Linked DNA regions of Rhinolophus ferrumequinum. The protein of the gene in region 2 binds, or shares a complex with, the protein of the main gene of each other region. Links are inferred from orthologs where the notes say so. Each region holds a gene or a part of one and is shown on either strand. Other genes may lie near its edges. The genes, in order: GJA1, NEDD4, GRB10 and ARRDC3.

Region 1 (7,481 bases), on a different chromosome or scaffold from region 2:
AATTACATCTATTGAAGGATTCTATAGCACAAGACAGTAATACGATGGGAAATCATCACTACTCTAAAGGAAATATGTTTGATCAACAGTCACATCAAGAACACATTTTCTGGCTGGTTTTACCAATGTGGGTAGAGTATTTCTGAACTCGCGCACTATTGAGATCCCAATGAACTTTTTCTCCTTCCTCACTGCATAACAAACATTAGATAAAATGGAAATTTGGTGCATAGATAGTATCATTCTGATGCTAATGAAAGGCATTCCATAAGACAATGGAATCTTATTCCATTACAAAATCACTTTAGACCTTCTCAAGCTTAGATAATCCTTTTATTCTTCTACAGCTGCCTTTGGATTCCTCCAGATGTAAACTTTTCTTCTCAGCTCAGTTCACTCTTATCTCAGTTAACTGATAACCTCACCTACTTTACTTTAGATGTCGACTTCAACCCTAGCTTCCTAATGCCCACACTCTCCATCTCAAAACATTTTTTCTTTATGATCTGCATTCACTCTTGTTTTAAAGGAATAACTGTCCTTTTTGCAAAGTTAAGACTCCCCCAATGTTCAGGTGATATTTTTCCTTACAAACAAACCCACTTATAGCCATTTTAAACACTCTTCCCTTTTCCAGAGTCTACCTTGTCTCTTTTTTCATTTTTTCTTTGCCTGCATTAAATGAGGGTATACACTAAGCATACTGCCTACATTCCATCTCTTAGTAATCTCATCTGTACCTGTGGTTTCAAATATAAATTCTATGAGTATAATCCCAAATCTTATGTCAATTTTAACCTACATTCCACAGCCCCAATTTTAAATTGCCAGTCAGGTGTCTTTACCTAGATGTTTCAGTTCTTCATACCAAAATATTCCAAATTGAAATCATTAAATCTCTTTCAGCAAATCAGTTCCTCCTCCAGACTTCCTTTTTTGTGTAACTTTTTCCTAATCAAAACTCCAAAATCATCTTCCACACCTCTTCTTTAATCTTCTTCACTCAATCTGTCATCAAGTTCTGATCATTCTACCTTCTTTCCTTTCCTTTCTTTGTCCTAGTACTCTAGTTCAGGTTCTTGAAACTCACTCTTCTACCATGTCGACATAAGAAATGTGCAAACCTGTAGAGAATTTTTGTAACTGTTTATTTGAGCCAAACTGATGACATATTCCGGGGAGCAAGATCTCAAATATTCTGGAGAATAGCAGTTTTGCAGTTTCTTTATGCATTTGAAATTAAGTAACAGACTGAGGCAGATTACAGGAAGGTGGGAGAAAACAAGGCAGGGATTGGATTACAGGATAGTTAAGATTATCTGCTCTCTTGAGGGTGGTTACACTTTAGAAAAAGTAGTCTGAAAGGGTGGTTAAAGAGACATTTCAAAGCTGTGTTAACCTAGATACAGAGAGACAATGGACAGGGCTTGCTTAAGGCAAAGAAAAAGCTTTTCTAAAGTTATATGCCTGGGGAGTGACTACCCACCATGACCTGCCCAGTTAGGAATTTATGATTTATTACAGCATCCCTTCTTTTTGTCCACAGTCATTACAATATTCTCCTTAGTAATCTCTCATCTACAGTCCCAAAATATTTTTGAATGTTTATGCTACTCATTGAAGTAAGAGTAACCTGCCAGAACTTGTGTGATATAGGCATTTAAAGTACTTAAAAATTAATCCATTCATCTGCTAAAATTCCAGAAATTGGTATTCTGAAACAAAGGCAAACATCCAAAATGCAATTGGTTCTCAGGTTAAAAATACTTCTCACAATTCGGAAAAAGAGTCTACTCTTCAATGTGCATTTCTCAAGACACAGAGCAACGTGGTTAAAACAAAATCTAGGGTCTGGCTCGTGGTGGTGACTAAAGAAACCATACAGATGACAAGAACTGTAAATGACTGTCCCTCATCCCGCTTGAGCACTGTTTCCTGACTAGTAAATTAGGCTGCATCCATTTCTTCTGCATAGACAGGCCTGGCAATCAGAGAAGATACAGTTTGGAGAAGTCAGTGTTTATATTAATGAAATAGCATTGGCATCTCTGAGAATATGATAAAAACACATTTTAAAAAATCTATTCCATGATTTTAACAATGGAGACATGCTTCTAAGTTTATATAAGTGGGCTTCTTTATAAAAATAGATTCTAGGTCACGATATAACTCACCAACCCGGCTAGAGTATTAGTGAGGTATAATGAGAGTAACTACTCAGCATTTGGAGAAGCTGCTAGTTGCATGAGAGAAAACTGTTGTTAATGTTCCAACGGAAGCCATTCACAGTAACCCTGTTCCCTTTGAGCATTCCTACTCATAGGGTCACATTTTGGTGCCATTATCCCAAAATAAAAGATCACATGAGAATGTCTTAATTTTCAATGAAGGATCATGAGGAAATCATTTTAGAAATAGAAGACACAGTACATCCTATATATTATGAGAACTAATTATTTAATTAGTGGCTCATGCTATGACTAGCTTTTGATTCAGAAGATAGTTCAAGTGACATCCATGAGGAACTTAATTTGGTATAAAGAAGTGCTTTGGTTCTACTTCCCATTTGTCACATAGGCAATAGACTAAAAAGAAAGGTAGCAGAATACTTAGATATCAGCCTTTTAGAGACCTAACAAAACGTAACTGGAAAGAAAGCAATTTTTGGCTTGCACAACCCTGTTACAAAATAGTCCACTGCAACTTTTTTTTTTTGTTCATGCAAGTAATGCTGAATCAGCATTTTAGGAAAACTTTTTAATAAAATGTATAATATCAGTAATAATTGTACTTGAATAATTTTTAAAAGGAAAGCAAATGATTATGTAAATTAAATGAAGCACAGACCTTTTTTAAAAAGGGGAAGCCAATTTTCTTATAAAAATAAATCATATTTTCATGAATGTGTTCTGAATCGAATAAAATAATTTTTAGTTAAGATAAAAACAATAGACTCGTTTGAAGGCAAACTATAAATACAAGACCAAAACAACATTTATGGGTTGCTGAGCTTGAAGACTTGAAAGTCAGATTACAATTTCTATTTCTTTTTTCTCCTCTAACTTAAAGAAAAATACACCCTTGGAAATAGTATAGCCAACAAATGAAAGAGCAATATCGTGTCTTAAAACTACAACATTTCAAAAGATGTTTTATTAATCTTTTTAGTGAAGATATATTTAGAGAAATGTATCTACCATAAAATATTTGCCATTTTCCTTTTTTTCTGGTATTTGTATTAGCAAGAAAAGGATAAGGAATATTAAGACTGGATGAATTTGCTTTGTTTCCAAAGAATAATGGTCTAGGGATTTCCCTGCTCAACCTTGGGAGCATCACTGAAGCCTGTTTATGGGGAATTGTCCTAGCACTGCCATCTGGTATGGCATCCGGGGAGTCTTCAAAGGAGGCCACATGACTCAGGCTATTATATACCCGAATGCAGAGTGCTTAACAGGAAGAGCCACGGAAGTGGTGGAAAAATGCATAAAATGATATGCTCAGCTCTACTGTCATTGGGCAGAAAATCCCATGGGTTTTAGAAAAGGAGATGATCTCAAGAATAGTTTTGAGACCCACTTACTGTCAATTTACCGTGTCAGTATTTCGTTAAAAATATTCTGACATTTCACTACAAAAGATTTAGTTTTTAGTGCATTGGCATGAATGGGGCTGAGATATTATACATTTTCAGTTCCCTGAAGACCCGATAGAGAGACGTGAGATACATCTCGATTTCACAAGCAAAACGTATTATATCACATATAATAGAATTATAAATATAAATACAGCTTTTGCTAAACTGAAGAGTAAACATTCAAAGCAGTCAAGGGGTGGGAAGGTGGATTTGGGATGGGCACACTACCACATTTGTCCATTTTTGAAATCTCTCTCTCCCATCCCCACCATTTCTTTTGTTAATGGTCCTTACTCAAACTAGAAGAAATGAGATTATCAAATAATTTGCTTCCCCCTCCCCCCTTTTAACTTCACACACCTTGGCCAATATGAAACACATCTGTACTGGCTACACTCTTTTCCAGCATTTTTATTTACTGTTACATGTATTAGGAAAGGTTGTGACATTGTAAAATATACAACTTTTTATTATCTCTGGACTTCTGGGGAAACAGCGCTAAAACCAGTAACTGTTATCTGTAAAAAGTAACTACAAGTAGTAGCATTCTCACCTCGAATGCTTTCATTTCTTTCGTCAGCAAACTTAAACTACAACTTTGTGTCCGACCTCGCCACTCCTCTCTGCCTCCTCTCCCCCACCCGTCAACGTGCGCCGGCCTGCTGTCTAACTCCCTCCTCGCTGTGCCTCTCCCCTCCCCTTTCTCCTAGCCCCTCCTCCTCGTTGAGTCAGTGGGTTGAAACTTTTAAAAGCTGTGTGCTCCAAGTTAGAAAAAAGCTTTTACGAGGTATCAGCACTTTTCTTTCATTAGGGGGAAGGAGTGAGGAAAGTACCAAACAGCAGCAGACGTTTAAACTTTAAATATAGACAGGTCTGAGTGCCTGAACTTGCCTTTTCATTTTACTTCATCCTCTAAGGAGTTCAATAACTTGGCGTTCCTACTTCACTTCTTTTAAGAGAAAAGAGTAAGTTAAAACAAAAAAAAATCTTTACCTATTTGTTTCTTTTTCTACATGTAAAACTTTTCTACAGTTTTTAAATGTGTTAAATGTACTTTTGATATCATACTGTAAATGAAACGATGAACTTGAAAGTGTTTCTATAGTTTTAAAGTTAAAATTGAACGTTCAGTATTTGTGCGACTGTTATAAAGTTTCTATTAATAATGGAACAGGTAAAATAAGATTCAGATCTTTCCAATTAGAATAAAGCACGAGTTTGCTGGATATTTGGTTCTTCATTTTAGAGTTTAATTTTACTTACTTCGTAATCAGGAATAGTCTAGGTGCTTTGTAACTTGGGGGGTGGGGGGGGTGGATCGGAGCCTGGGTTGGAAATTTGACCGACAGCAGCACAAAAATCAGTGCAAATTTGCTTGGCATGCTTGCTATAGAATTCTACACTTTCTGCTTTTTCATGTGGAAATCTTGATTGATGTTCTATAGCCTGGCAAAGCAAGCTTCTTAACAAAGTGCTTTGTTAAGACCTTGCGGTTACTTGACTTCCACGTGGTCCCTTCCTAAAATTTTTTCCCCGGTAAACAAATGGTATAAAAGTCAATGTTGTACTATTGAAGTTTTTAAATCAACAGTAAAGAGTTACTTTGTTTCTGCAACTACTGTGGAAAAATTTGAGACTCTCAGGAGAGCCACCTTTTACTCAACCACGTTGGCAATTCAAGAGATGAAATCCTTTGAATGGGCGGTGGTTGCTTACAAAGCATTAGAGGGCTTGAACACACGTTCAGAAAAGAGTGTATGCCAGGGTGCATTTCCAAAACCGTCTCCTAAAACCGGAGCTCCTAGAAAGAATATGAAACGAAATTTCTTAAACAGCTCCTTAGAGAGAGCTAACATGCCCCCACCCCCACCCCCGCAGCCGCCTTTCGCCTGGCCGAACCTGTAACAGACTCCAGAGCTTTGGGCAGCACTTGAGGTGGAGCTCCCAGGGTGCTGCCGGTAGGCGAAGATTACGCTGATTTGTTATTAAAAAGGATTCAGTTTCTTAAATGCTCTTATTGGTAACACACATTCTGTTAGCGTGTTCTGTACGGATTTTGTGTGTTCTACTACACAGACTACACTCATTCGTTTAAATTCTTGGTGTGACCCTGCAGTTTGAAGTATTTGCACCAGAGAATGCTGAAAAGCAAATAAAAATGAAAGCTCAGCGGAGGTCGGGGGCCGTGGCGGGCGCGGGGCGCTTCCTGCCAGCTTAGCACCCGCCGGCGCTCCCCGGCCCCCGCGCAGCGCCAGCGTCTGGGTTTTGGAGAGGTTTGGGGAGCTGTTGCCCTGGAACCCTCCCTCACACGTCAACCCTAACGCAGGTCCCAGTTCTGCCACCAAAAGTGGGGGTGGGGGTGGGGGAGAGGGTGGAGGGGTGCAGATGGACTGGGGACCCCAATGGTAAAAGAAGAGCAAATGATTAATTAATCTTGTCAATGTAATTTCCCTCTCACCCCCATCCGTAGGTTTTTTTTTTCTTCTTCTTAAAATTCTGAAATCCTACTATACAAGCGTTGGTAAAGGAAATCAGAATGCCTTAGGAATTAACCGTGCTTAAATTGCACTTGTAACTCTCCTAGAAGTTGTCGAAACTTCCCAAGAATGTGGGGTAGGGCGCGACGGGGTGGGGGGAAGCACCGTAATGAAATTAGGAAAGAACTCATGACGTGTTCAAACACAAATCAGGTTTCGGAAACTCAAACCTAGAGTTCCGAGCAGCGGATCGGCCACACTGTCTCAGTTCGTAGCTATCCAAATGTTTACCCAGCATCTTTGGTCAAGTTTACCCTTAAACTCTCCATCACCAGCCCCATACTCATCCTCACCCTAAGGCATGCCTGCGTTTTTCTCGAAGGGCAAAATGGGAAAAGGGGAGCTATAAAATTGTTGGAAAAATAGACATGGCTTTATTTGGAGGTGGGTTTCATTTTTTTTTTTTTTGCTTCCCAAACGAGGTTAGTAATGACAAGATGCTTAATCTCATCCTCCAACTCTGTCAGAAATGCCTTGTGGCAATTTGAAGACTAGATTGAGATTTTTTTGTTTTTAAAGAAGCCTAATCTTTTGTACAAGGATTTCTGAAAATAAAAGACTGTAGTAATTCAGAGATCTCATTAAATTAACTCCATGCCCAAGAATGAAATTATGCCATTTAGATAGAAAATATGTCTGGGGAGCAATAATGAATTTTTCTAGGTAGGCCGAATTGACTGGAAATTATACCAATGGCAGTAAGTATTTTCTGCCCTGTGAATGTGTTGAATTTTGTACTACTGAAACGTGTTCCCCCAATGTGTGATGCTTTGTAATTCCCAAAGTCAGGGTGTAGTTGTCACCTATCCTTTGCGTGGAAAACGCAGTGGTAGTGCTTTGCTCCCACTTTCTTAACTATTTAAACATATTCCATATTTTTCTAATACCCTTTGAAGTTTATTACCACAGCTACCCCATACCATACATACACTCCGTCCCTCACCCTTTATAGTTGACTCTCCCTGGGAAACAGTTCCAAAGATACTCTGCAGCAAGGATCCAAAAGAGTGTGTTTTCAGATATTGACAGTTGCTTTGTTGCTTACATGTTTCCAATTCCTGCATAGAGAGGGATGGAAAACTTAGATAACAGTGCATTCCTTAGTTCCTTTGCTGTTATCCAGAGGTGTAGCTAGGTGTGAGCCTCAGAGCCTTTATATGTGATACTGGAGGGAACGGAACAATAGGAAAGTCACCAGTGATTAATCCCTTCTACTCCACCTTTCCTGTTGTTCTGACTTCCCTTCAAGATTCTTGGCTGTTTAAATAGATTGTTGAAGCTTGTCTACTCAACACTACTTCAGCTCT
Region 2 (8,273 bases):
AACGGAATTAATAATTCTAAAAGATAGATCAGAATATGAAATCTGATCTTAATTCATCCTTGGTAAACTAGTTGCTTATCTGAACATCTGGGCATTGGGTAACAATGATTATATTTATTGGATTTCAAAAGAGAGAAAACAAATTAGCAATTATTTCATATTTTATTTACCTTAAGCTACCTCTCCAGAAGTTTAAAAAAAAATCTTTAGTATAGATATTGAGTGTTACGTTGAGTGACTAAACACAGACAAACAGATAAGTTTTTCCTCCAATAATGTCATCTAGAATTGGTTTAGTCAGAAAAAAAATTTAATTTCCTGGTATTTAAAATGTTTTAATATCCTGGCAAGACCTTCCAAATTCAGAAATTTTAAAAACTCTATTTAAGGTCAAAACACTTAACATACTTTGGAAAGGCCACATTACATAAAGAACTGTTTTAGTTAAGATTTATTAGAGTTAAATTACTAATATAATAAATCAAAATTATCAAATAACAAATGAATAAGGTAACTAAAAAATTATGGGAAATACCTAACAATTGAAACCAAATTCAAAAATATAAAATTTAGATTTCAATATTGTTGAAAGAGTAAGTTACATTTCAGAAGGCAGTCTTACCTGGTAGCTAAAGAAAAATACCGTGGAAACAAAATTCCTGTGGTTAAGGCATATACAAATGAAAATGTCATTTATTTTTCCTCTGCTTTAAACATGCAGCATAATAGTTTTTAACAATGATCTAATAAATACATGTATTTTAGAAAAACAGTTTTCTCTATGCTCATTTCTAACAAGATTTTCACATTTTTACATACACTTTCTATTGCTTAATATTTTAAATAAGCATTCTATATTTTACTTTACTTCACAATGATTACGGAGAGGAGACTAATAAATGAGCATTTTTGTAAGTAGGAATAAAATATGGAGTTACACATTAAAATATTATGCCTCTTGAGGGGAGGGAAAAATACATCAAGGTAAAGTGTTATAAAATAAATTATTATTTAAAGCTTGTTTTTATGTTACAGAAATGTTTTATGGCTTAAATCACTTCAGAAAGTTTTTTTTTAATGAATATTTTCTACATTAGTAAAATAACAAATAGAGTGAAAAACTATTGGGGGTTCATCAGATTTACAAATATAAAGTTCATGACTACAAAATACTTGCTTGGTAAGTAAGGACCAGGAAAGTATATAAAACTGCTAAATTATAACCAAATATTTCATAAAGCTATTCTAATATAAATTAACATTTACCAAGACCAAAGGAAACTTACCTTACAAGAATGCTTCAAAGAATTAGATAGTTCATTTGTGAAATCTCTGTTGCTGTCTCTTGATAAATTATCAACTTTACCTTCATTTCCAGATGCAAACTTTATTAGTAATTGAGATGGTCCCCCTTTGGAACAATTGTGCTTAAGGCTGGATAAACAGGAAACATTTGGGTAAGTCCCTCCCAGTGAAATACTTCTTTGTAAAATAGCACGGTTTTTGTTTATCTGTAAATTTGGTCTTTCCAACTGTCCATTAATATTTATTTGATAATCCACGTTTTGGGAGTATGGTAAACACGCAGATGTCCTATGCATCAGCTTAATATACTCTGAATCAGAATTAAGCTTCCTTTCTGACATCTCTGGTCTACAATCACTATTTGCTGCTTCACAATCTACTGTAGTTGCTTTTTGTTGGGTGAAATGTACTGAAACACAAGAATATCCATCAGGTGACTTTTCAAAGACAGTCTGACTTGGACTATTATTCGCAATAACAATTTTCTTTTGTGATAAGCCCTTCCCCTGAAGTGGTCGTATGTCTCTTACTTCTCCAGCAGCACAGATTGTTTTAGATAACCGAAGTCCATTGACAGCTGTTGAAAGAAATCCCTTAGCACTAGTACCATCTTCATTGTGGGCAATTTCACTAGGAGAAATAATAAATTGGTGTGACGTCTGATAGGATCCTTTGCTTGGAAGAATACCTGTATTTGTCGGAGAAGTTGGTGGGGTATTTGCAGGACTCCTGGGAAAAATGACTAAGGATGAGCAACGTTTTAGTGGAATTTTCGAGTTCCTGCTCACTGGCAATTTCATAATCTCTAGTCCATGCTCCAAGTCATCCTGGACAAAAGGAATTGTACTTGTACATCTTGAAAAAATTTCACATGGAGTAGTATTCCTGTTTGGCACATTTCTATAGGAGGTGCTGTCAGAAGATAAATTTCCGGCCAGAAAAGTATCATCAGTTGATGGAAAAGTATAACCGCTGCTGTCACTGATGATACTGTTGGTGTAGGAACCTCCACTTGTGATACTTGTGCATGACCCATAATCACTACCGTTGCTGTTGTAAGACCCGTTCTCACTGGTTGAAAAGTTACTAAAGCTACCACTGCAAATGGCAGAACTGCTTAAAAGGTTTCCATCATTCACAGCATTTAGTTCATTATCAACCACAGCACTGCTGTAAATGCCATCCTTCAAGACACAGGTAAATGAAGCATCGTCAGCATCAGCTAAGACACTGCTAGACTGAAGATATCCACTGTACCTTGTTGGCTGTAGTGAAATCTGTAGACAGCTGCTCTTTTTATTAACATTCTCAGGTGGAGGAACAGATGAGCTCTCCTGAGACGTAACGTTTTCCTTTATTAACGGAGCTAGTGCAGTCTGTCTGGGAGTCAGCTTCATTTGAACAACGTTAGACGTTGAAATCCGTGTTGGTCTTTTGAAGCACATGGGAACATTGCTATCCGAGTCATCTCCGGAGGTTTCTGACAAAGGATAAGTATTGCTTCTTCTGGCTGCAAAGTGCAATCGTAAGCTTTGTGCCATTTGTTCTCATTTCCAAACATGTTAAGGGCTGAAAGTCATAACAAAGATCTCTGTCGGTAGACAGGCTAGAAGCAGCTGCACTGCGTCGAAAGAAAAAATCATTTGTGGTGCCTAAAAGAGCTCTTAAGTAGTAGTCTTTATCCAAAGGAAAACACTAGATACCAGATATCTCAGAAAGAAAAAGACGACCCATTCCTGAGACTGACGTTTCCAAAATGTCTTGAATTGCTTGTAGTCAAAATGCCTTCACTTACAAAGCACTTGATTTCCAGCGACCTTTAAAGCTGAGCTCAGCTGCAGCTCACTGCCTCAAACACTGCCAACCTTGTTTCAATTATACCTTCTCCAATTTGCATGAATGAGTAACACAAGAACAACAATCTTCTAGCATTTCAAGTTAAAACAGTATTTTTTTCACTCCAGCTCTACTAAATGAACATTTAACTGTGTGAATCACTGTGCCTATACTTTTTCCAGCAGAGTTTGACCACTAATATTTTTACCCATAGGGATAAAATTACAGGAAGTTGGTAGGAATGAAACCCCATGTAATTGAGTATCAAATCGAGGATTGAATTTCCAAATAGTGGCCACACTAGGAATCTAGTCAAGTTAGTTAATGTAGAAAGGAATATAGACTGTTAAAATTTTTACAGATAACTTCAAACAGTTATGCAATTTGGACACACCAAAAGTGTGGGGTAAATTAAAAATTTAGCATTCGATCAAATAGATAAGTATTTTAAATTCCAAAACACTTCTTATACAAAATGAAAGCATAAGGAAAGAAATACAAAATGAGCCTATTAATACTATTGCAAAAATTGAGTATATGTCTGAGAAAAAATAAAGTTTAAGAGAAGCTGTCACCAAGCATTTTCTCCTATAATTTTAAAGGCTTTTACAGCCAAGTAGTACAGTCTTTAAATGATGCCATTTATATTTTGACTATTAAAACTCTGCCAAGAAATAGCCTAAGCAAACATTCCATTAAAAATATATGCAGATTAGACAGAAAAACTATACCCCAATATAGTTTGAGCACACAAGATATTTTATTCCACTGTCTCTGCAATTCATTCACTTAAGAGAGTGTTGTGGTAAGTAAAGAAGTCTAAAAAGGATTTAACACATCAAATAAACATATCTCAATGCCAATTCTGTTCTGAAAAACTCCAAGAGCTCTTTGCTGGCCCCTACTGGTGCACTGAAACAATCCATTTAGCTGTTTCATATCTATAAAGAAATACAAACCATGCTGCATATTTCTTTATATAAACAAAGTACGTACTTGTTTACATTTTTGAGTACTAGCACTGCCCTAGAGGTGGAATTACTTACTACTGCTGATAAAGCTCCTCCAGTAGAGAACAGTACACTGTTTGTCCTTTTAGGGGTTGTGATTTTGTATATATATTTTTTCTGCTTTGTATTTATTTAACCTTTACTTTATTTTCAGTTTACTAGGTAATAAAAGTTTAATATTTTAATTTCTGCCCCAAATGTCATAGACCAAGGTTGGTACTCTATTTGAAAGAAATAAATTTATTTTTAAATAATACTCTAGGGTATATTTAAACCCCTTACCTGAATTTTATAGCTGGAACTCCAGTAATAAATATATACTGGCTCATTCATAGGAAAGTAAAAAGTAAAATAGTTCAGTTGTTTACACCACATGGTACTACACCCAAGTTGTATTTTTTTAAGTAAGGTGTTTTTTTTTTTTTCTCTAAGTAAAAGCAAATATGTAAAATACATACTTGCACTTTGTTTAAAAAAGAAAACCCCATAAGACAGATCTGTTCTCAATCACAATTTTCTAAACGGTATTTTAAATCTATTAAGACAAGAAAAAATAGAAATATGGTATCAATTAAATTATATTTCTGACTAGAATGATATTTCTGACTCGAATGAGACAGTACTATGTTTTAGAATGTGTGCAATAATTGTAAACTTAGTAATAAAATTATTATGCTATTTTGATTTTGTATACTCTCCTTAATGATTTTACAGATGTCAGTAAACAGTCCCGTATCATGCCTTTTCTTTATAGAAGAAACAGTCCTAATCTTTTCACTTTGCCTTCAAATGACTTCTGCTTTCTGTCTTAAATTAAGTTAGGGGTCTGATAATTTAAAGAATGGATCACTACTAACAGGCTAATCAATGAGATCTAACTGCTCGTGCCTGCGGCCTAAAACTTTCAGTTAATAAGCAAAGCTCCTCTAGTTCTTAATATAAAATAATGAACCTCAAGAATTTGGCCAGATATTTGGCATCAGTTTCATGTTAGTTAAAACTCTAACTAGATTTTAAGCTTCCAGTGTGTGAGGGTCATAACTAAACATTTCTTCTGATGCCCCGAGCTCCTGTTGGGAACACGTAAGCACTAAGTAACACCAGAGAGGAGACTGAATGGATAGATGAATAGCCACTCTGCCTGCCTCATGATTTCTTTCAGGGTTTTAAAAAGAAATTGATCCAGTTACTACTTCTAAACAAATGTCAAAAAGCACTGCAGCTGGACAAGAAGGACTGATGCTTGAAAATTTTGCAAAGAGGAAAAGTAAGGTAAGAGAATCATCTGCCCTTCCTAGCTCGCTCTCCAGTCTGCGTTTAATTCTCGAGAGGCTGAACAGTTTGCACTGCTGACTCTGGTCTGGGACCACACGGGCTCTGTACTGCTGTCACAGCAGTCATGTGCAGAGCCTGGGGAACCTGGGGCAAATGTAGCCCCTTAGCCAAACAGATGCCAAAAGAGGAGCCTTAACCCAAGGGGAGCAGAGGTAGAGTGGGGGCAACCCTCATCGGGGAGGAATCTATGCCAGTCCTATAGATTTCCATATTCTGAAGTGACACAGGTAACATCTTAGGATTAGACTGAAGCTCAGGACCCCACATTCTGACATGTTTGGTGATTGATTATCTACACAGAAAATAATGTGATTATTGACATGCTATGGCTAGGCTCTGGATAACCCAAATCATTGACTAGAACTTTGAAGTCTAAAGTCCAGGGTGATGATAATATGTATGTATCACTTGGCGGGGTTGTTTTGCCCAGTTGTTTGGTCAAACACCAGTCTAGGTGCTGCTGTGAAGCTAGTTTTGAGATGTGATCGACATTTCAATCACTAGATTGTGAATAAAGTCAATTACCTTCCATAAGACGGTAGGTGTCATCCAATCAGTTAAAGGCCTTAAAAGCAAAGACAGGTTTCCCACACAAGAAGCAATTCTGCCTCAAGACTACAACATAGAAACCCTACCTGAGTTTCCCGCTTGGTGGCCTTCCCTGCAGATTTCAGCCTCAAGACTGTAACATCAACTCTTCCCTGAGTCTTCAACAAGCAATCCCTGCCCCCTGGGGAATCTGCAATATACTGATCAATGCATTCTTTTGTGCTTGCTTTTAGCTTTAAAGGTTGTTTTGTTTGTTTGTTTTTAATGTTTATACATCATGTTTATAACCCTAGAAATATCCCATTGTTAATATCAGAGGCAATGCTTTTTCCTTTTGACATATCATGACACCATGTATAGTACGCTACATGTGCTCAAGGAGTGTTACTGCACCCGAGTATGAGAAATATCCATTTTGGCAACGAAGAAAGAGTTACACCATGCTGAAGTTATAGGCAAAAACGACTAGACAACTATGGTGAAAAGTGCAAACATGAGCTATCCCTCCTTGTGGACAACATTACATATAACTCACATAAAATAGTTCACCAATGAAGCACCCAAGAATCAGGGAGAAATTCACATTGGTGTCAGTAACAACAGGAAAAATAACACCGTAACACCATGACCCAGCAATTCAACCCCAAATTACGAATCTTAACAGATACACATGTGCATCAGGAAACATGGCAAGAATGTTTACCAACTGGTAACAGCAAAAACCTGGAAACAACACTGGTATCTATTAAGGAGGATAAATACACAAATTAGGATTTTATGGCATTTGCAGATGATGGAAAATTATGCATCAGTGAAAATGTGTTATCATGGATCAAAAAGCATGTCACAGAGGAATTCATTCAGAGTGATACTATTTTGATAAATTGAAAAACATGCAAAAGGAAACTCTGGTTTTTTTAGGGATACATATATACATGATAAAAATATTTTTAAAAAGCAAAGAAATGATAAACAATTTTCAGGATGGTGGCTGCTACTTGTGAGTGGAAGAAAAGGAAATGCTGTTGGGAAGGCTGAAGGGGGTTTTGAAGAGTTTGGTAATGTTATAGTCCTTAAGTTGAGTAATAAAGTACACAGATATTTATCTTATTATTTAAAATAAAGATTCATATTATATCTACTTTTTGTATATATATTTCATTGTTGAAAAAACACCAACACTAAATTTTAACTGGTCCCATCTAGAAGTAAAACAGCTCTGTAAAGACAGAGGGGGGAAAAATTCTTATTCTATAGTAAAAGCAAAAGCAAAAATACAAACAGAAAAAAAAAATCAAATCATCATTTGTCACTCAGCTTTAAAAAGTTAGATTGCCAGTTAATGAGGAAGTCTCCTTTGGCAGCAGAAAAGCATCTTTGCTAATTAATAGATTTTGTTTGTAATACCTTCAGTTCCTAGTATAGCTGTCATTTCTTGAGGGTGAAAAGAAAACATGTTATGAGGTCTAACGCTAAAAACAGATTTTAAAAATAAAAAATCCAGTGTCTTTGTTAGCTATAAAAATGAATAAAACTGTTCAACTTTTTTGGTACTTCTGTTTAATCACTGATAAACTTTGAACACATAACACTGTTCTTGTACCTTCATGTTCAAATCTTAACAGGTTTAAAATATAATTGTAAGATGCTAAGGAGGTTTGAAATAGGATCCCAAAGAGACAAAATTAGGAAAAGGATAGGATTTGAAGATAGTCTTAAGGAAATCAGAAATCAAAACTACCGGTATCATTAAAAAAAAATAAAATCAGGTTTAACTTTGCTTTTTGCCTATATAGGAGCTGGCAATCCTTTATTTTATCAGTGCAAAGAAGATAGTTTTTCTTTGTAAAAGAATGGAGATAAGAGACTGGATGGGACGTTGCAACCCCCCAGAATCCACTGGAGTGAGGAGGTACAACTCAAAACACTGTGGACCACCAACCAGGGTACAGGGATGAGAGTAAACGGAGGCAAGACCAAGATGCTGGCTTTCCTGTCATCTCCTGAGTAAGACCTTATAATCTGTTTAGAAATGACAATCAGGAGAGGCGCCTACTAGGAGAATGGAAGGGTAGAGTGTAGCACCACGAAGGAGAAAAAAAAAATTATATCTACTTAACCATATTGCCCAAAGTCTCCATAACCACCCCAAATCATTCTCTCACGTCACTGATTCCCAAACCACTTTTCCTTGCTGCTTTTTTGAAATATATCCTTGCTTCATATTTAACACAAGTA
Region 3 (8,062 bases), on a different chromosome or scaffold from region 2:
GGTGGTGGTCAGCTTCACCTGCTTGCATCTCCTCCTGGTTCACTGGCCCCATGACCACCAGGAGCACAGACAAAAAAGCCCATTGCTCCAAGATCAGTTCAGAAGCTCCCTGACGCCATAGGTGTCCCGCCAGAGGGAGAAGATGAGGGACAGAGACAGCTCCCAAGACGTGTGCAGCTAAAATACTAACCCAAATTAAATGCCAGCTAGTGCTGGAAGGATAAGATCAGTTACAAACCCATTAGCACAGACCTGGTAGAAAGTTTCCAGGTCCCGAAAGCACCTGTTTGCCAAGCCTTGCCTACCAAGTAGCTCGGCTGTCTTAATTTCTTCTGTAACCTCCCATACTTCTACAGTTAAGAAAAAAATAAAATAAGACAGTTTAAAAAAAAATCTCTACCAGCAGAAAAAGTGTTATTTAAATTTTAAACATAAGACTGATTGCTTAATTGAAAGGCAAAACAAGTATTTTCTCCTCACGAGCCCTAAACAAACCCCACTTTGGTTTAAGAAGACTGAGACAGACATGACATGGGGTTTATGCCACAAACTGCAAATGGAAAGGCGTCTTTACCACAAAACAGAACAGAAGTCCCCTGCAGCCAGCTCTCTGAGTTCTGATAGGCAGACGTGCTCGCCCTTCCACACACTTAATTACACCGTACACAGGTGTTGAGTACACAGGTGTTTCTTCCTTGCAGGTAAGAGGTGGACAGGACTCGGAGGAAACAGGTTCTGTACATTATGCCACCTTTGAAGCACTGGGTCTACCAACCCAGAATTTCTACAGTCCTAGATGTGTAGATGTTTCTGTTCAAGCAGGAGTTTGGTTGCTATACACAGTAAAGTCTTGACCAGCTGTGTCATCAAAATCAAAGGTTCTGGGCTAGCACTTAGTTCTGACTTTGTTATTCTCTCTCAGTGGAGGCTGACTGGCCAGAGAGACGGTCACTGCCACTGGGCCAGTACTGCCCTGTGTTCCGATGGCACACCACCATACACAGCCCCCAACAAGTAGCTGGCATGAGCCTGCCAGTTCCAGGGTCTTGGTCCACAAATAAAAGGCATTTTTCCCTGCCATCGCTGCCCCCAAAATGGTACAGAACTTGGGCAGTATGCAATCGATGACTTTAGGGGTACACAGCTTTTATTAAAACACCATTTTTTTATTACAACAAACGTTTAACTACCATATCAAACTTACAACTCAGTGGATACCAAAATTTTCTCCCAAAAAAATATGTATTTTCATATAATCAATGAGCAGACAAAAGAAAATGTTGATAATGGCCTCAGCGACAATGAGAGAGCTCTGAAAAGCTGGGAGTCCAGGGAGTGGTAATGGGCCCTGCTAGTTCTCGGGTGTGTGACTGGCAGGGGACGTCCTCTGGGCTATTTCTCTTTCAGAGGCAGATGTACGCGTGCAGAAGCATAAAACACACAGGACTGAAAAAAAGAAATCCAAAACTTGGGCTCTGGTGATAGCTCTATCATGTGCTGGCCATGTGACCCTGGGCATGCCAATTTAACCTCTTGAGCCTCAGTTTCCCCACCTGTAAAATGGGGATCCAAGGGCTGTAGAGGGCTAAAAGCAACAAGGCTTCCAACGTGTCTCGTAAACTATGAAATGCTACAAAGTATCAGTCGCTACACTTCTCAGTTACACAAGCGCTGGCTGGCGCTGGCTGGGTGTGTAACCCGGTCTGTCCTCAGATTCCCTCCCTGTAATCTGGAGATTGGCCTGTGTGGCCCTTCTCTTTCAAGTATTCCCAATAAAACTCAAATGTTACGTGCAGTAATCCTAGAGTTCTGATGTTAACCGAAAAAGCCAGCCTCCACATCATTCCTGGAAACAAATTTGCTTCCAGGGCTTTTATTGAACAAAATCTTCCGCTAAAAGACACTTCACTATCCCCACAAGTTGGAATTAATTTCTTCTGCTATACATATCTAGATTCCACCTACTTTTCCTTCTAGAAAGAAAGGGGGGGGGGCTCCAAGTCAACTGCTGTGAGAAACCACCAGCCTCATGCTGTAAACCCCAGCCAGCGCCTGTTGCTCGCTAACATGTGTTCTGAGTAAAACCGAGCGAAATGTTAAGTAGAGCACCATTTCTGAAGCTGGGGGCTCCAAACGGCTGATTCAGCATTTTCAGAAACAAAGTGTTCTGGGCCTGGCCCTGTAAACAGCAGCACCCAGAAAGTTGTGCAATTACGCATATTCACTCAGGAGCGCTACTTGTTTTGGTCTTTTCTTTGCATCTCTTGAATGAAACTGGGTACATTTGCGAGAAGTCCTTCTTTCTAGTGCATCGCGGATCCAGCAGTGTCTCAGTCACCTGTGGCTTCCCTACAGGGCCCAAGGTTTTCGTCAAAGCAAACGACAAAAAGTTGGCATTTCTTCCAACCCCAGGAGAAGAGGGACACAATAAAAAGTAGAGAATACCCTAATTTCCATAGCGCACATGCTGCAGGGCCTCGCCAGGCAGGCTTTTGGAGAGGCAATCAGCGAAGGCAGACAGTTGCATCAGAAATTTCCTTCTGCAAACGGTACGGCTCTTATCACATTTCCACGGCTGGCCGGCGGCTAATCCGCGAGCCCTCAAGTTGGGGTTAGGCCCCAGCGGCGGGTAACGGGGTCACTAACGGAACCGAATAAAAACCCTCCCGAGACTGGGCCGCGCCGGGCTGGGGAGTGCCCGGCTCGGCGTGGGCTCAGGGGGGCTGCAGGGGACCCTCCGGGCGGCCCGGGAGCGCAGCCTCGGCCCTGACCGTGGACGGGCGCAGCCCCCACCTAGCCTGGCCCCGGCCCGTGAGCTGCCGGCGTCGGACGGGATGGTCCAAGGAGGCGCTGCCCGGCTCCGCAGCTCCCGGGGAACCCGCGCAGAGCCCGGCCGGCTCCGCCGCGCCCGCAGCCCCCAGCCCGGAGGCGACGCCCTTCCGCCCGCCGCGCCCCCGCGGCGCCCGGCGTCCCCGGCCCGGCGGCCAGCGCGCAGACAATGACCGCACGGGGACCGCCCGCCCGCCGGGCCCCGCCGCGCGGACCACAAAGTAACTTGCGGCCGCGATCCCCACCCAACTCCGTACCTGCGCGGCACCGCTCCGGGGGACCTCGGCGCAGCTGGGGCAGGAGCGGGCCCAGGGGGCGGGCGGGGCGCGCGGGGCGTCCCGGCCCAGCCTAGGGGCTGCGCGCAAACTTTGGCTCCGCGCGGGTCTCCGCGGCCTCCGAGCGCTGAGCCCGCTGCCGGCGCGCCGCTCGGCCCTTCCAGCCTCCTCCTGGCCTCCCCACCCCCTCGAGGGGCTTTAAACGCGCGGGCCCCGCCCGCCTCCGCCGCCTCCGCCTCCTCCCCCGGCCGCTTTTCCTGCTCCTCCTCCCGCCGCCGCAGCCGGGACCGCTCGGCGGCCGCCAGCGCGGGCGGAGCCGCGGCCTAGGCGCAGGGCGTGGTGCGGGCGCGCGGGCTAGGGGGCCGGACCCTCGGGGCCCGCAGCCGGGCGTGGGCGCCCGGGTCCCTGGTCCTGCCTCCCGGGAGCCCCAGACGTGGGACCCCGACAGCCCAGGCTCGAGCGCCGGCGGAAGACACATCGGACCTATCCCGAAAGGCAATTTGCAAGCGAATTCTTTGAAACTCAAAGTCTTAACTGTATGGTCCAAATCCTGCATCACCAACACAGTGCAAGGAGGACCGAGGAGGCGCCAATGCTGGGGACTCTGTCTGGACCGGCGGTCCAGCCCGGGGGGCGGGGGGGGGGTGGGGTGGGGGGGGAAGGGATCTTGGGTTTGCGGTGCCCGCTCACAGCCACCCAGGTCTGGGGCCTCTTCTATCTGATCTCAGTTTCCCCATCTGCGTGTGAGCACTGGAGTGAATGCGGGTGGCGGAAGGAGGCCCTACATAGGTTCTCAGCGCCCCCAAGCCTCAGTGTCCTTATCTTTGAAATGGGCTAATAAACCCCCCTGAGGGTGATATCCTAGGGGTTGAATGAAGTCATACCTGTGACAGTGACTGGCACGGAGGACACTGCGAATGAATGAAAACCATTATCATTAATATAATTATTAATGTGTCTACGGAGTCAAAATTACAATACAAATAGGATAGCAATAATTATGTCTTTTTCTGGATCTTCATGTTACAAAAACAGCTACAACAGTAACTTTTTCTGACCATTCATTTATGCCAAATGGCCACCAATCTGTCACCCAGCCCCTACTCCGGCCCTCTGAGGTTGTCACTGGGAGATGTCCACGGTGCAGATTAGGAAATCCAACCTCGCAGAGGTGAAATACCCTGCCCAAGGTCAAGTAGCTGGTAAGTGCAGAATAAGGACGGTGCCAAAGCCCTTTTCAGGCACTTTTTATAGCTCCTGCTTTTCACACCTTTGGATGGATATATCATGAAAGGTCACCCTTTCCTGCCACTGAAATAGGCCTCCTGAAAATGTCTACCCATTGGTCCAAGCCCAGAAAACCGTAAGATGAAAACCTAGAAAGAATGACGTGAAGGATCTTGGATTCCTGGGAGAACAGAACACAAAGGACTCCTGTTGAAGACAAAGGACTCGGGAGAAAATCACAGAAGAGAAAACTCAATTTGGGCCAACTTCTTACAAGTATGTGAGTTTGAACCTTGTAGCTTTGCTGACGGCACCAATCAGCCTGCCCCGGCCACGGGCTTTTGCAGATGTCTGAAGAGCACCTGTGAACAGACATCGTTTTGTCCTGAGTCCCGTGTAGGCAGGTTTCATGCACTATAGCCCCTAACCCCTATATACTTTGATGTCTTCCCTAAGAGTAGGGAAGCACAGTTAGCAAATTCATACATTTATGTTGCTCAAGTACACGTGTCTGGTCTCGGTCCATAGCCCAGCGTTGCCCGTTGATCTGCTAATGTCCTTGATAACGTTCCTTTCCCCTCATTACAGGACCCAGTGTAGGGTCAGGTGAGAACTTACTGTCTCTAAACGTGTGGATTTTCAAACATTACTATTCATTGAGAGGGGACCAAAATAAATGTCCTCCAGTGTTTTCCTGCTTCCATGGATCCCTGAAATTCCTGGGACAGGCGCTCAGCCCCCACCTGTCCTGGCTCTCCGCAGATATATCCGCATGCATCTCCTTTCTGGGCAGGTCCACTCAGGACCACTTTACGATCCAAGTTCATGAACGTGTCACTGTTGTGGGTTTAGAAGCTGCAGCTGTCCCCTGGACCGGGGTCCTGGCCACACCTGTACTGTGGGCAAACTGCACCTGAATGCCTTTCCCTGCCGCAAATTCCAAATGCCCACCACCCACATGACAGCAGCCAGGGTGGACATCAGCCATGCAGGGCTCGAGTTACCCTGGACCACCCAGCCGGCCAGGAGCAAGGCAGTGTGGCTTTGTGTTCAAGAGCTTCCCCAAGGGGAAATGGCCTGGCTGCAGCTAGGTGTCAGGACGGGAAACGGCATTTTGTGACCGTGAGGAACTCACTTATCCAGACGTGCGCAAAGGCTTGTTCAGCTGCATGGAGAGAATCCGATAGATTCTATAATTGGTACCTGTCCCCTCTGTCGACTGTAACCATGTGACAAGGGTAACTGCGTGCTCTTCACTGCTGTCATCCTGGCACTGAGCGGGCACCCAGGAAAACCCCTCATCACTGGGAAGTGGTACCATGCAAAGGGATTTAGCAGCAGAGCAGCAGGCAAGATGCTGTGATGCCCGGCACCGTCTCACACATGCCAGCAGCCTTGGCAAAGGGAAGGGGCGCCAGGTGAGCTGCTCACTGACAGTGAAGCCCTCTGGCCAGAAGTGGCCCTCACTTCTGCTTGCGTGGGCAGAGGCCAGTCCATGGCCCAGCCATGCAAGGGGAGAGGCGTGGGAGGGGATGCATCTGGAGGGCAGAGCTGGACACCAGCCAGCCATCAGAGGCACTAAGGACTGCCAGCCCACCCCATCCCCTCACCGTGGGGTGGGCTTGAGCTGCAATCACAGTATAATTGTAATACGCCCCGCAGGACCCAAGGGAATCTGTTCACCCTGCAGACCCCTGGGCTCATCCCCACCCTGAGGAGTTTACCGCCCCCCAGGGTCACTCTGCATTTTTAACAGACTTCCCCATGATCCACAACTGCCAGTATTCCAAATACAGTGACTCCTTGAGTCGTCTGAGCAAGAGGAGTACAGGCGGCCCCAAGGTACAGAGACGGGGAGCCTGGATGGGGAGCCTGGCGGCTTTGCTTCCCAGCAGAGGCCACACCCTAGCAGAGTCCTGGAGCATCCAAGATGCTAAGTGCCGAAAAGGGAGCCAAAGGAAAGGTCTGCCAGGTCGAGGGAGATGCAGGTACCTCACCAAAGCCAAGAAAAGTTACCAAGTAGTCACATTCCGTCATAGAAAGCTGGGGGCGGGGCTGGAGGAGGTTGCGTGGCAGGCGGGAGACGTGACAAGAGGCCAGGCTGGAAAGGCCAGCAGGGACTTACTTGTCGCCCTCAGGCATTTCTCCATTATCCCAAAGGTGATGGGAGAGTGTGAGACCTGTCTGCTGCCGCGGGGCTGACCAACACGATGTACCCCCCTCAGTGGACTGTCCATAGTCCCCCAATCACCCCCACCTTTTGTGGTTCCCTACATAGCAGTTGATTTACTGGGGATGACACTGGGCCCAGGGATTCCCATTCCAAGGGTTTGCCTGTGGAGGAAAGGATGGGCCCACCAGAAGCCTGCTCCTGGGAGTCCGAACCGGAAGTACTGGAGGGGGTCTGGACCACAGGCACCAGGTGAGGACCACCTGAGCTGGGCCCATGTGTGAAGGGAAGCGCTGAAAGCAAGCCCTGAACGGATGCCCTCTGTCGGTCCCCTGTCTCCCTGGGTCTGGGCCACCGCAGGTCTCCTTTCAATGGAAATGCATTTTCCGTATGATGTCTTAATATAAACTCTCCTTTTCCTGAGATACCTTGAATCAAAATGGCTTTACAATTCAAACAGAGGCTCACTGAAGGATGTTTCCTCTTAAGTCTGATCTATTGAGGTTGGATTTGCCTACAGGAAAAATTAACCGCTGTGTAACTGTGATGTCAGGGAAGATAAAGAGCAGCTTCATCATCCCAGAAAGTTCGCTCTTGTGCCTTGCAATATGTCCCATCCCCACGCCCTGCACACACTGCTCTATGCGCTTTCTGTCCCCTTAGTTGTGCCTTTTCGAGATTGTCACATGAATGGAATCACGCAGTATGTAGCCTTTTGTGTCCGGCTTTTCTCCCTCGGCTCACTGTGTGTGAGATTCATCTGTGTCGCTCTGTGCATCACGAGCGTGCTCCTTTAAAGCTGGTTGCTGTGCCGTGAGTGGACGCACCTCCGTCTGTTCATTCATTCACTGGCTGACGGAAACCTGGGCAGGTCCCACTGTGGGGCGATTATGAATAAAACTGCTATACAGGGTTTACCGGGAAGATAAGTTTTCGTTTCTCTTGGGTAAATAACAAGAAACGAGATCGCTGGGCCATATGAAATGTGTCATAAGAAACGGCCACACTGCTTTCAAAGTGACTTTACCGTGGGCATCTGCCCCCAAAAGGTGTGAGTGCCCCAGCGGTTCTGCGTCTCAACCAGCACTTGGCGCTGTCGGCCTCTTTAATTTCAGCCATCCAACTGGTGTGCGATGGTGTCTCGTTCTGATTTTAACTGGCGCTTTCTTCACGACAACAAATGGTGAGTGCTTTTCCACGTGCTCACGTGCTATTCATCTGCATTCTCCTCTGAAGTAAACGTCTTTGGTCCAATTATTTTATTATTATTATTATTACTATTATTATTATTGCATCAATCGTTTCCTTATCACTGAGTTCTAAGAGTTCTTTTTGTATTCTTGATACCAGTACTTTAGCAGATATGTGTTTTGCAAATATATTCCACCAGACTTTTCTATTTTTTTTAACAGTATCTTTCAGAGAGCAGAAGTTTTTAATTTTGTAGGTTAACTATTATCAATTTATCCTTTTGCAGTTTGTTTCTTATATCCCGTCTGAGAAATTCTTGCCTAACCCTAGACCACACTTTTTTTCTTTGTTTTCTCCTGGAAGTTTTATG
Region 4 (8,193 bases), on a different chromosome or scaffold from region 2:
ACCTAGCAACATGCTAACTATCCTGTCTCATTTCCGTTGGATGGCACTAGGCAGCAGCATTCAGCATATTTTCTGATCACCAAGGGAAAGGCTCCGTGTTACACGTGTCATCACTTCTTGTACGGCAGTTTCTTCAAATAAAAACATCACAGTGTGTCCTCCTCCACCTTATTCACTGGATCTGGAACCTTGTGACTTCTGGCTCTTCCCCAGTCAAAATGACCATGAAAGGTAAACGTTTTGAATTGATTCACGACATTGAGGCAGCTAAGACATTACAACTAAAGACACTCACGAAAAAGGACTTCCAGAACTGCTTCAGAAAGTGGCAAGAATGATGGGATAAGTGTATTTGAAGCAAGGGGGAGTATTCTGAGGGGGATTAATGGCAATGTGTCTTTTACTGTAAAAAATTTATTTAAATATTCACCATATTTTTATTTTTAAATTTATTTAAACATTCATCGTATGTTACACAAACAACAACCCTAAAACCAACTGCTGATTATCCAAATGTGAATTTACTAGGTCATAGATTAAAAATGTGAATTTAAGGTTTAGCTTTCACCTAACCCATTTCTTGACCCCAAAACAAAAGTTCATTTGAAACCTTAGATTTCTGGAGGCAGAGAGTGCTCAGCAAACTTTTACATTTAAATTGTCCCTCCTCCTTATAACTTTTCCACAACAAACAGTTCCTTCATCATAACTACTTCTTCAGTGTGGTAGCAAATAAAATCCCCAACAATAGGAAATACAGGAACATGTAAACTGAGCTGATCATATATGGGTGAGAAGCAATAATTCTCTCTCACAATTTTTAAGTTATGGTAACATAAGGATAATAATTAACAACAGTAAATAAAACTAACCTTAGGAGGCAGATCCTTGAAAAATGCTTCCATTAAACAGCATTGAGAAGGCAGTAGCTGTAAATAACAAGTTTAGGTCTTAAAATCATTTATAATAAATTTCTCTTCAACAACAGAAAAAATGTAGATGATTGGAAGAACAACATTCTCCAAGCAAGATATGAAATATGAAACTCCATTTAGCCAAATATGAATTTGATATAAAAAACTGAGAACTGGTTCCTTTCAATTATACTTTGCCACTAGAACTCAATATCATCAGGAAAATATTAGTTATTATACTTATAATGTTTTTACCCTCGTTACATAAAATTACATGAAATTGGGCTACGTCAAGTCATAAAAATAGTTCAGAAAAGAAATTTAGCATTTCTGATTCTTTTTGCAGGCCCGATATGACTTGAGCCTGGATAAATAAACTGCCAATTCATCTAATTTAGCAGGCCCTGTGGGTTACAAATCCATTCAAGAGACTGTCCCTTAGAGGCACTAATCAGATATATTGTCAAAGAAGTCTACACGATTAAGAAGCATTGCCATAGTTTAACTGACAAGGCTCTTCCTAGTTGTACTTCTAGATGGAAATGTACCAAAAAGTTAATAGTGGGGTATATCTCTGGGTGGATAGAATTATGAATAATTTTATTCTAAATCAAGAAACCAAACATAAAAGATTAAAGACATTCACATTTCACACTATTTCTTAATGAGCAAGAAGAGAAACCAAATTTGGTATTGAATTTTCTCACAAAAATCCAGAATACATTTTAATGTCTATTAAGTATGAAGAATGCAATGAACGTACCATATAATTAACTATCAAATATAAAAAACAAATCTTACTCATTTTGCTAACACTATAGCAAATCTTACCTCGTCTCCACACCAAAGTCAAATTCGTTGCATTTTGAAGAAGTTAAATTCTTAAGTCAATTACAAAATCTTGAAATACAGAATACCGAAAAATAAACAAACCAGAGAAACTTCCGTAACTTCTATGGTACTCAAGGTGTTAGTTAAAATAAGAAGTAAGCACGGATTTCACATTTTTTTTGAAACAGGTTATGACTGCTAATATGGTTTTTCTTATAACCACATATCAAAACTTTCAGTTGACATGGCTGCCTTTTTTTATATAACAATATTGAATATTTTGATATATTAATAAGTAATGAACTAACTCCAGATGTGGCAATAATTTTGACATATTACTGCCTCAATATTATACACCTTGAGATTGAGTTCTTGAGATTGAGTTTGAACCTTTATACAGTAAGGTGGAACAGCACTGAATTAAAAATCCAAGGAAAAAAAGTATTATAAAGAAGAAGAGTCCTATTTATTTAAGCTCCAAAGAAGCTATAGAAAGGGGAGGAGGCGCTAGTTTTTCTGTCTAGTTGATTTTATTCAGTGTGCCAACTGAATCTGGTAAAGGGGTTAGAAGAAGGGAAAGAAGATAATACAGCAGTGGGGTGTTGTTCTGAGCACAGAAAGCAGAATGTAACTGCACATTGGCAAGAGAGAAAAAAGTTACCAAAGACAAGCTAACATCTCCTGTCAAGAAGATGTACTTAACAGTAGTATAGAGAGTTAGCAGATGAGTAGGAAGTGGCATTTGAGATGTAGGCTGAGATGCGGTAGGAAAGAGCCTTGGTGGTAAACATGAATAGCTTAAATATAATGCAAAATACAGTAAGGGCCCTGTGAAGCAAGTCCAGAAGCCCAAGATAATGAATGGCTACAGTACAGCTTTTCAAACTAACAGGTTGATATTTAGATAAGGAGTCTTTAAAGGGGAGGTTATAAAAATCACAAGAGAAAACATTCAAAATTTAGTTGCTTTTTTCTTCTTTTAGAAATAAAAACATAAGATAGATTTAGAGACACCAGAGTTGTTTGTTGTTTGTTTCTGGTGTTTTCATAATTTGAATAAATAGGAGGAGGAAAACAAAATGAAGCAAACTCAAGGTTAGGCACTTAAGAAATAGTCGTGTGACCAAATCCAAAGAGAAGAAAGATGACAATTAAGGTAGGTGAGTAGGATCTTAAAAATGATATGGGATAAGAAATTCTTGGCAACTTGTCAGTTTTAAAGTGTTTAGAAAGACACAGTAAAAAGAAAATAAGGAGAAATAGAAAAATAAATCATAAAGACAATGATTTATTATATCTTAAAAGTTTCAGAAAGAATAATGTAATATAGTGATAGGAATGAATCATTTAATGTGCTAAAACGATTTTCCAAACTACAAGTAAATCTCTTAGAATTATTTGTGGTTAAATGCAAGTCTAGTTTATTTAAACAGCTGATTCTTGTTTCTTCAGAAATAAGTTACATTTCAACTGGAGAAATTTTACTAAACATTCTGAAGAATTCAGCTATTCATCACTAACCCTTAATAATTAAAACAAATTTAATAATGAAAGTTTATTGTGTACTGCACTTTTAAATTTATTCCTTGCCCAGTGTTACTTGAATGTTTAATAACTTGTATTAGATCTTAAGGCTGAAAAGCTGACATCTTAGCAAATTCACTACTTTTACCACTAGGTGGCGAAAAAAAACAAGTAGTATCTGTTATCAAAGCTAGTACAAGGTCCCAAGTACTTGAACAACTAGAATTTCCACCAGGTGTCAACCAAGAGGGAAAAAAGGAGACTATTTCCCCCACTGAAATACACAAATTAAGTTCTAAGCCTAACCATCTCAACTCTATCAGAGATAAACGGCCTGACATTAACTGTACAAATAGTTTACATATTTATATCCCCATAGAAGGTTGTTGAGTCCAATATATTGTCAACTAAACTCCAACTAAATAAAATTTTGTTTCCTCCAAATAAGTAAGAAAACAGCAAGCTCAATGAATTTAGTTTATTGTGAATCATAGGGTCAAGTTATCCAAATATATGCACAAGAGTGCAAAACGTTTTAGACATGAACAGCCCAAACTCTTCCAAAGTATATTTGGTTATGTATAGATAGCTCCAGATTCATATATTATTTTTGTTTCTCTTACAGGCAGCTGATTGTAAAGAATCTAGGTAAATTTATGTTGTTATGCTTTTAATCCCAGTGTCATTTTATAAAAAGCATTGCCATTTGTTACCAAAATAGTCACAATAAAGAGACAAATGTTATCTGTCTTTAAGATGTACCGAGTATTACGTTGAGAAAGTCCAAGGCTGAAAATTAAAGCTTTACAGAATTAAGTCCTACTTATATTGCAAATCGTTTTTTAAATACCATCTTATGTGCTTCACTAATTTCTAACAAAGATTTGCCGATCTTGTTGTAAACATTATGTCTGCTAAAACACTATGTCATACTACCTTTTATAAGGTGGTACTTTTTTAAGGCCGAACTCTATTCTTAATCCTCGGGACACAGGAGTTATAATCATGTCATACCCTGCAACTCCAGCTGTAGGTGGTGTCTTAAAAAAACTTTTTCTTCCTTCGAGGAAGTGGTCAAGCCCTTCTTCACCCTGGTGTCATCATGCAAACAACTTGGTTGTTTTTCACTGCTATCTAATTAAGAGATGGAAGAGAAAGAAGTTGAGGAAAAAGCAAAAACCTACTGATTAAATTATACTTGCTTCTCTTCCTTGCTCCTTACAGTATTCTCTTTTAAGGTTCCTTTGGCCTCGACTGAGTTCATTTCCACCCTGCCTACAAAGCAGTGGCTTTTCAAAAAAAGAAAATCTAAGCCAAGAATGCTCTTGTCTAAGAATATTATTCCTTGTCTGGTTTTATTACGTTTTCTTTTGAAATTCGTTAGATTATACTCTGCAACCAGCCGCTTGCCCAACCGGTTTCTCCCCTTCCCCCATCGCTCTTCAATCATCACTTTTTCCTACTCCCAGCCAGGCGGTAGTCAAAACCCTGCCGTGCCTGTAACGCATGCTTGGGGCTGGTCACTCAGCAGTTCATCCTTACTTGGCTTTACCAACAACTCCCCACCCAACCCTTCTTCCCTAGTGACCCCCTCTGCCATTATCTTTAAATAGAGTGTGCTCAGTAACAGGCTCCAGATAGCACTTCGAGGGTTTACGGTAGCCTGCCTGCCTGCCTGCCTACCAATAGGAGCCCACAATGAAGGGAAGTCAGGTTCAGCCTCCCAGCAGCCCCAATGTCTTCTTCCCCAAGCTGTACACCTACTGTATGAGCAGTCGAGCAAGCGAACGAACAAGCGAACTAGCGAGCGAGGCGCGGGAGGGGGCGCACCAGAAGGGCGGGCAACAGCCGCGGCGTGCGCATGCGCACCGGGGTTGTTTTTCACAAAGCTGCTCTTAAAGTGAGCTGGCAGCCTCCAGCCGCCCGTCTTTGTAAGGAGACCACTGAGACTAGCAGAAGCGCGGAGCAGCAGCTTCTAGCTGCCCTGACTTTTTAAGAAATCTCAATGAACTATTTGTAAGGAATCACTGATCTTGCCTGCAAGCTTTTTGCACGGCAAAGACATCGATCAGTGTTAAGTGAAGATCACATTTTATATGTGATCTTGACTTTTTTGTCTTACATTATATTTTTATAGATTTTGTTATAAACATGGTGCTGGGAAAGGTGAAGAGTTTGACAATAAGCTTTGACTGTCTTAATGACAGCAATGTCCCTGTGTATTCTAGTGGGGATACAGTCTCAGGAAGGGTGAATTTAGAAGTTACTGGGGAAATCAGAGTAAAATCGCTTAAAATTCATGCAAGAGGACATGCGAAAGTACGCTGGACCGAATCTAGAAACGCCGGCTCCAACACTGCCTATACACAGAATTACACTGAAGAAGTAGAATATTTCAACCATAAAGACATCTTAATTGGACACGAAAGAGGTAAGTTTTTATATTACTCAAATCATTAAACCTGTTTTCTTTGGGAAAGTACCTTTTCAATTTTTCTGAATTAATATAATTTTACTCCTAGCATAACACACAGCAGTTTGATAAAGATTAGCAAAGTTGGAAGATTTGGATTCTCCTTGACATTCATCGTGTGTTAAGTCGTAATGCATGCAGGCATCTGCAAAGTGACTGCAAACTGCACTTATTCAACTACCTCTATACCCAGCTTGGTGTGTGCCATACGCATTTGCAATCCATGTGCACCTTACACATTCTGCTTAAATCCAATTCAATAATTTTACTAATATATTTTCAACTGAATTGCTAAAAGCTGCATGCAGTCCAATATGAGATTTTGTCCTTGTACTCTGCAACCTTAGATCTTAACAACTAAGCTTCAATGAAGAAATGGAATAACATTTTTAAGTGGGTTAATAGGTGGATTTCATTTTTAATATTGACACGCACAAGACTTCAAAGAATTGATCATTGTTCTTTGATAAAGGGTTTCTGTGGCTTATTTTGACATATGGTATCAACACCCCACGTGTTTTTTCCCCCTATTCTTTCCAGTTCCTTTAGAAATTATATCAGACATTCTCTATTTTAAAGGACAGTATTTGTCGTTATGATAGGTTTTAAATCAGTTTTAGAAGCCATTTAGGATCAGTAATTTTTTTTTTCCGAGCATCATGCCTAACTTTGGAACGTGCATTCAATGAAACCCCTGCAAGTCAAATGAAATTGAAAAGTATTCGGCACATTGGATTTGATTTTTGATTAGAAAAGGGAGATAAAGGGTTGTCAAAGGGAGAAAAGGTCCTGAGGTTTCCAATCGATTGTTTAAATCGTTACATTGTGGAAATATAGGAGACTCTAAGCTTGTTTTTCTAAGTTTCCACCCTTTGTTAGAAGCGGTTCAATCCTGTTTCGGACCAGTTCTGGGGGGTGGTGAGGAGGGGCGCTTATTCAGCTCTCAGCAGATTGGTTACACGCGTCAGGTGGTGGCGATGACTTAATTCCTAGACCAAGAAGAATATAATGTTAAAACTGGTTATGTAATTTTGTACTTCTCCTTTTTAATGCAGTATTTAGTTCAAATGTTGACTATTTTTGAAAGAGTAGAGCACATTTTTACCTTTATTTGTAATATTAAAAAACATGCCGGAGGAAATGCTAATTAAACTAAGCCAAGTGTAGATATGAAGGATGCTTTCAGTTACAGCATTAATGTACTATTTTTAAAAATATTAAGATGAAATCAATTCTTTAGTTAGGTATGCAGTTACACATAGGTAATTTGCATCCTGAAATAATTTCTAGTTAATGTTTCCAAGCAGTAATGCTGGTAAGAAATGCATGCCTAATGACAGTCCTGGTATATGCAGAAAAGCAAATACATGAGTTTGTGTTTGAACCTTTCTGGACATTGCAGCTTTCTATAAAATGGTTGAGAACAAACAAAGGTTTTTTTAAGGAGTTGAGGCTTGCAATGGGGTAAAAGTAGAATAACGATTTATGGGGGGAAAAAACAGTTTCATGAGTTACTCCATGGTTTTATTACGTGGGATTATGTGCCCCGTACCCCCACTAGATGCCCCACAATTCCTGAAAACGTGGACGAGCTCCTAGCCTGGAATAGTTTCAATGACTTAAAATTGGGACCTCTCAAACTAGCCTGGTAACTGAGACCCCGCCCCAGGTGACCGGCGATAGGCGGAGCCGGGTTTGTTAGCCTGTTGCTAAGGCGATGCCAGGCTCTGATTGGATTGGGCGCCGGCGGGTGGGGAGAGCGCAGGCCGGGGCGAGGCTTGGAACCGGCGTGCGCCGGTAAAGGTCCCTCCAGAGCGGTCGACCCCGCCCTACTGGCATGCCACGGCTTCTGGAGGTGTCCAGGGCCCCTGTCACACACATCACGTTCTGTCGCCCCCTCACCTCGACTTGTTTGGCCCCCGAAAAAAACGACTTCGGGTGTCAACGGAGTAGAGGGGAGAAACTCCTGCTGGCCTTACAGGTGCCGAATGGCCCTGGGCGCAACTTCAGCTGACAGTCCTATTCTGAGGGAACTTGCATGTGCCTGGTTCGCAGGACCCCATTTTAGTATTTTTCGGATAGAAAGTGTCAGGTGGCTTCTGTTAACGCTTGTTTTCCTCTTAGCTGAAACAAAGCGTGTTTCGCGACCAATGTAGTCACCAGACCGGCTACCTTAATTTGGTCTGAGGGGAGAAAGCAAAGGCTGGCGGGGAGGAGGAGGAAAAGTGGTAGTAACATGGAAAGCAGGGTAGGAACCTGGACTAGTATTCCTTGCCCCCTCATTGTTTGCCGGAACCTTTCCTCCCCTCCCCCAATCCCTCACCGCCCCAGTTTCCTTCACCGCAACTGTAAAGGTGTCAGGGTGGCCCGAGCCAGATCGAACCGGTCACCAGCTGAGGCGTATAAAGCGGAAGCGCCGCGGCACGGTCGCCCCGCCCTCCGTTCAGCAAG

The links.
Region 1: the proteins of NEDD4 (region 2) and GJA1 are in contact, whole or in part, in an NMR structure (PDB 2N8T), measured with the Rattus norvegicus proteins. The link is inferred for Rhinolophus ferrumequinum from reciprocal best matches to the Homo sapiens genes NEDD4 and GJA1. Residues at the interface, in NP_037118.1 of Rattus norvegicus: Asp416, Asp417, Tyr422, Val424, Asp425, His426, Ser428, Lys429, Thr430, Thr431, Thr432, Trp433; in NP_036699.1 of Rattus norvegicus: Pro277, Leu278, Ser279, Pro280, Met281, Ser282, Pro283, Pro284, Gly285, Tyr286.
Region 3: the proteins of NEDD4 (region 2) and GRB10 are in contact, whole or in part, in a crystal structure (PDB 3M7F), measured with the Mus musculus proteins. The link is inferred for Rhinolophus ferrumequinum from reciprocal best matches to the Homo sapiens genes NEDD4 and GRB10. Residues at the interface, in NP_035020.2 of Mus musculus: Glu71, Leu72, Val79, Arg104, Ser112, Ile114, Leu115, Thr116, Ser117, Val118, Gln119, Glu134, Ile135, Leu136, Phe137, Arg138, Leu242, Pro243, His244, Pro245, Pro246; in NP_001357532.1 of Mus musculus: Ile514, Arg516, Gln518, His519, Phe521, His522, Gly523, Arg524, Asp548, Gln579, Phe581, Gly587, Asn588, Thr589, Lys590, Phe591, Ser592, Ile595, Gln596, Asp599, Phe600, Leu603, Asn604, Ile617, Arg618, Val619, Ala620.
Region 4: the proteins of NEDD4 (region 2) and ARRDC3 are in contact, whole or in part, in a crystal structure (PDB 4N7H), measured with the Homo sapiens proteins. The link is inferred for Rhinolophus ferrumequinum from reciprocal best matches to the Homo sapiens genes NEDD4 and ARRDC3. Residues at the interface, in NP_001271267.1 of Homo sapiens: Glu847, Arg849, Ala851, Pro852, Phe857, Ile859, Asp860, His861, Lys864, Thr865, Thr866, Thr867, Trp868; in NP_065852.1 of Homo sapiens: Glu344, Ala345, Pro346, Pro347, Ser348, Tyr349, Val352.

What each region holds. Positions count from the first base shown.
Region 1 is NC_046286.1:70,969,779-70,977,259, forward strand, and holds the start of GJA1 (gap junction alpha-1 protein), read left to right. Parts: upstream 1-4,390; 5' UTR 4,391-4,602; intron 4,603-7,481. UniProt on the Homo sapiens protein: Gap junction protein that acts as a regulator of bladder capacity. A gap junction consists of a cluster of closely packed pairs of transmembrane channels, the connexons, through which materials of low MW diffuse from one cell to a neighboring cell.
Region 2 is NC_046289.1:53,009,323-53,017,595, reverse strand, and holds the start of NEDD4 (E3 ubiquitin-protein ligase NEDD4), read right to left. Parts: upstream 3,220-8,273; 5' UTR 2,847-3,219; coding exon 1,287-2,846; intron 1-1,286. UniProt on the Homo sapiens protein: E3 ubiquitin-protein ligase which accepts ubiquitin from an E2 ubiquitin-conjugating enzyme in the form of a thioester and then directly transfers the ubiquitin to targeted substrates. Specifically ubiquitinates 'Lys-63' in target proteins.
Region 3 is NC_046303.1:2,527,919-2,535,980, forward strand, and holds the start of GRB10 (growth factor receptor-bound protein 10), read right to left. Parts: upstream 3,287-8,062; 5' UTR 3,087-3,286; intron 1-3,086.
Region 4 is NC_046290.1:59,999,145-60,007,337, reverse strand, and holds the start of ARRDC3 (arrestin domain-containing protein 3), read left to right. Parts: upstream 1-5,191; 5' UTR 5,192-5,420; coding exon 5,421-5,700; intron 5,701-8,193. UniProt on the Homo sapiens protein: Adapter protein that plays a role in regulating cell-surface expression of adrenergic receptors and probably also other G protein-coupled receptors.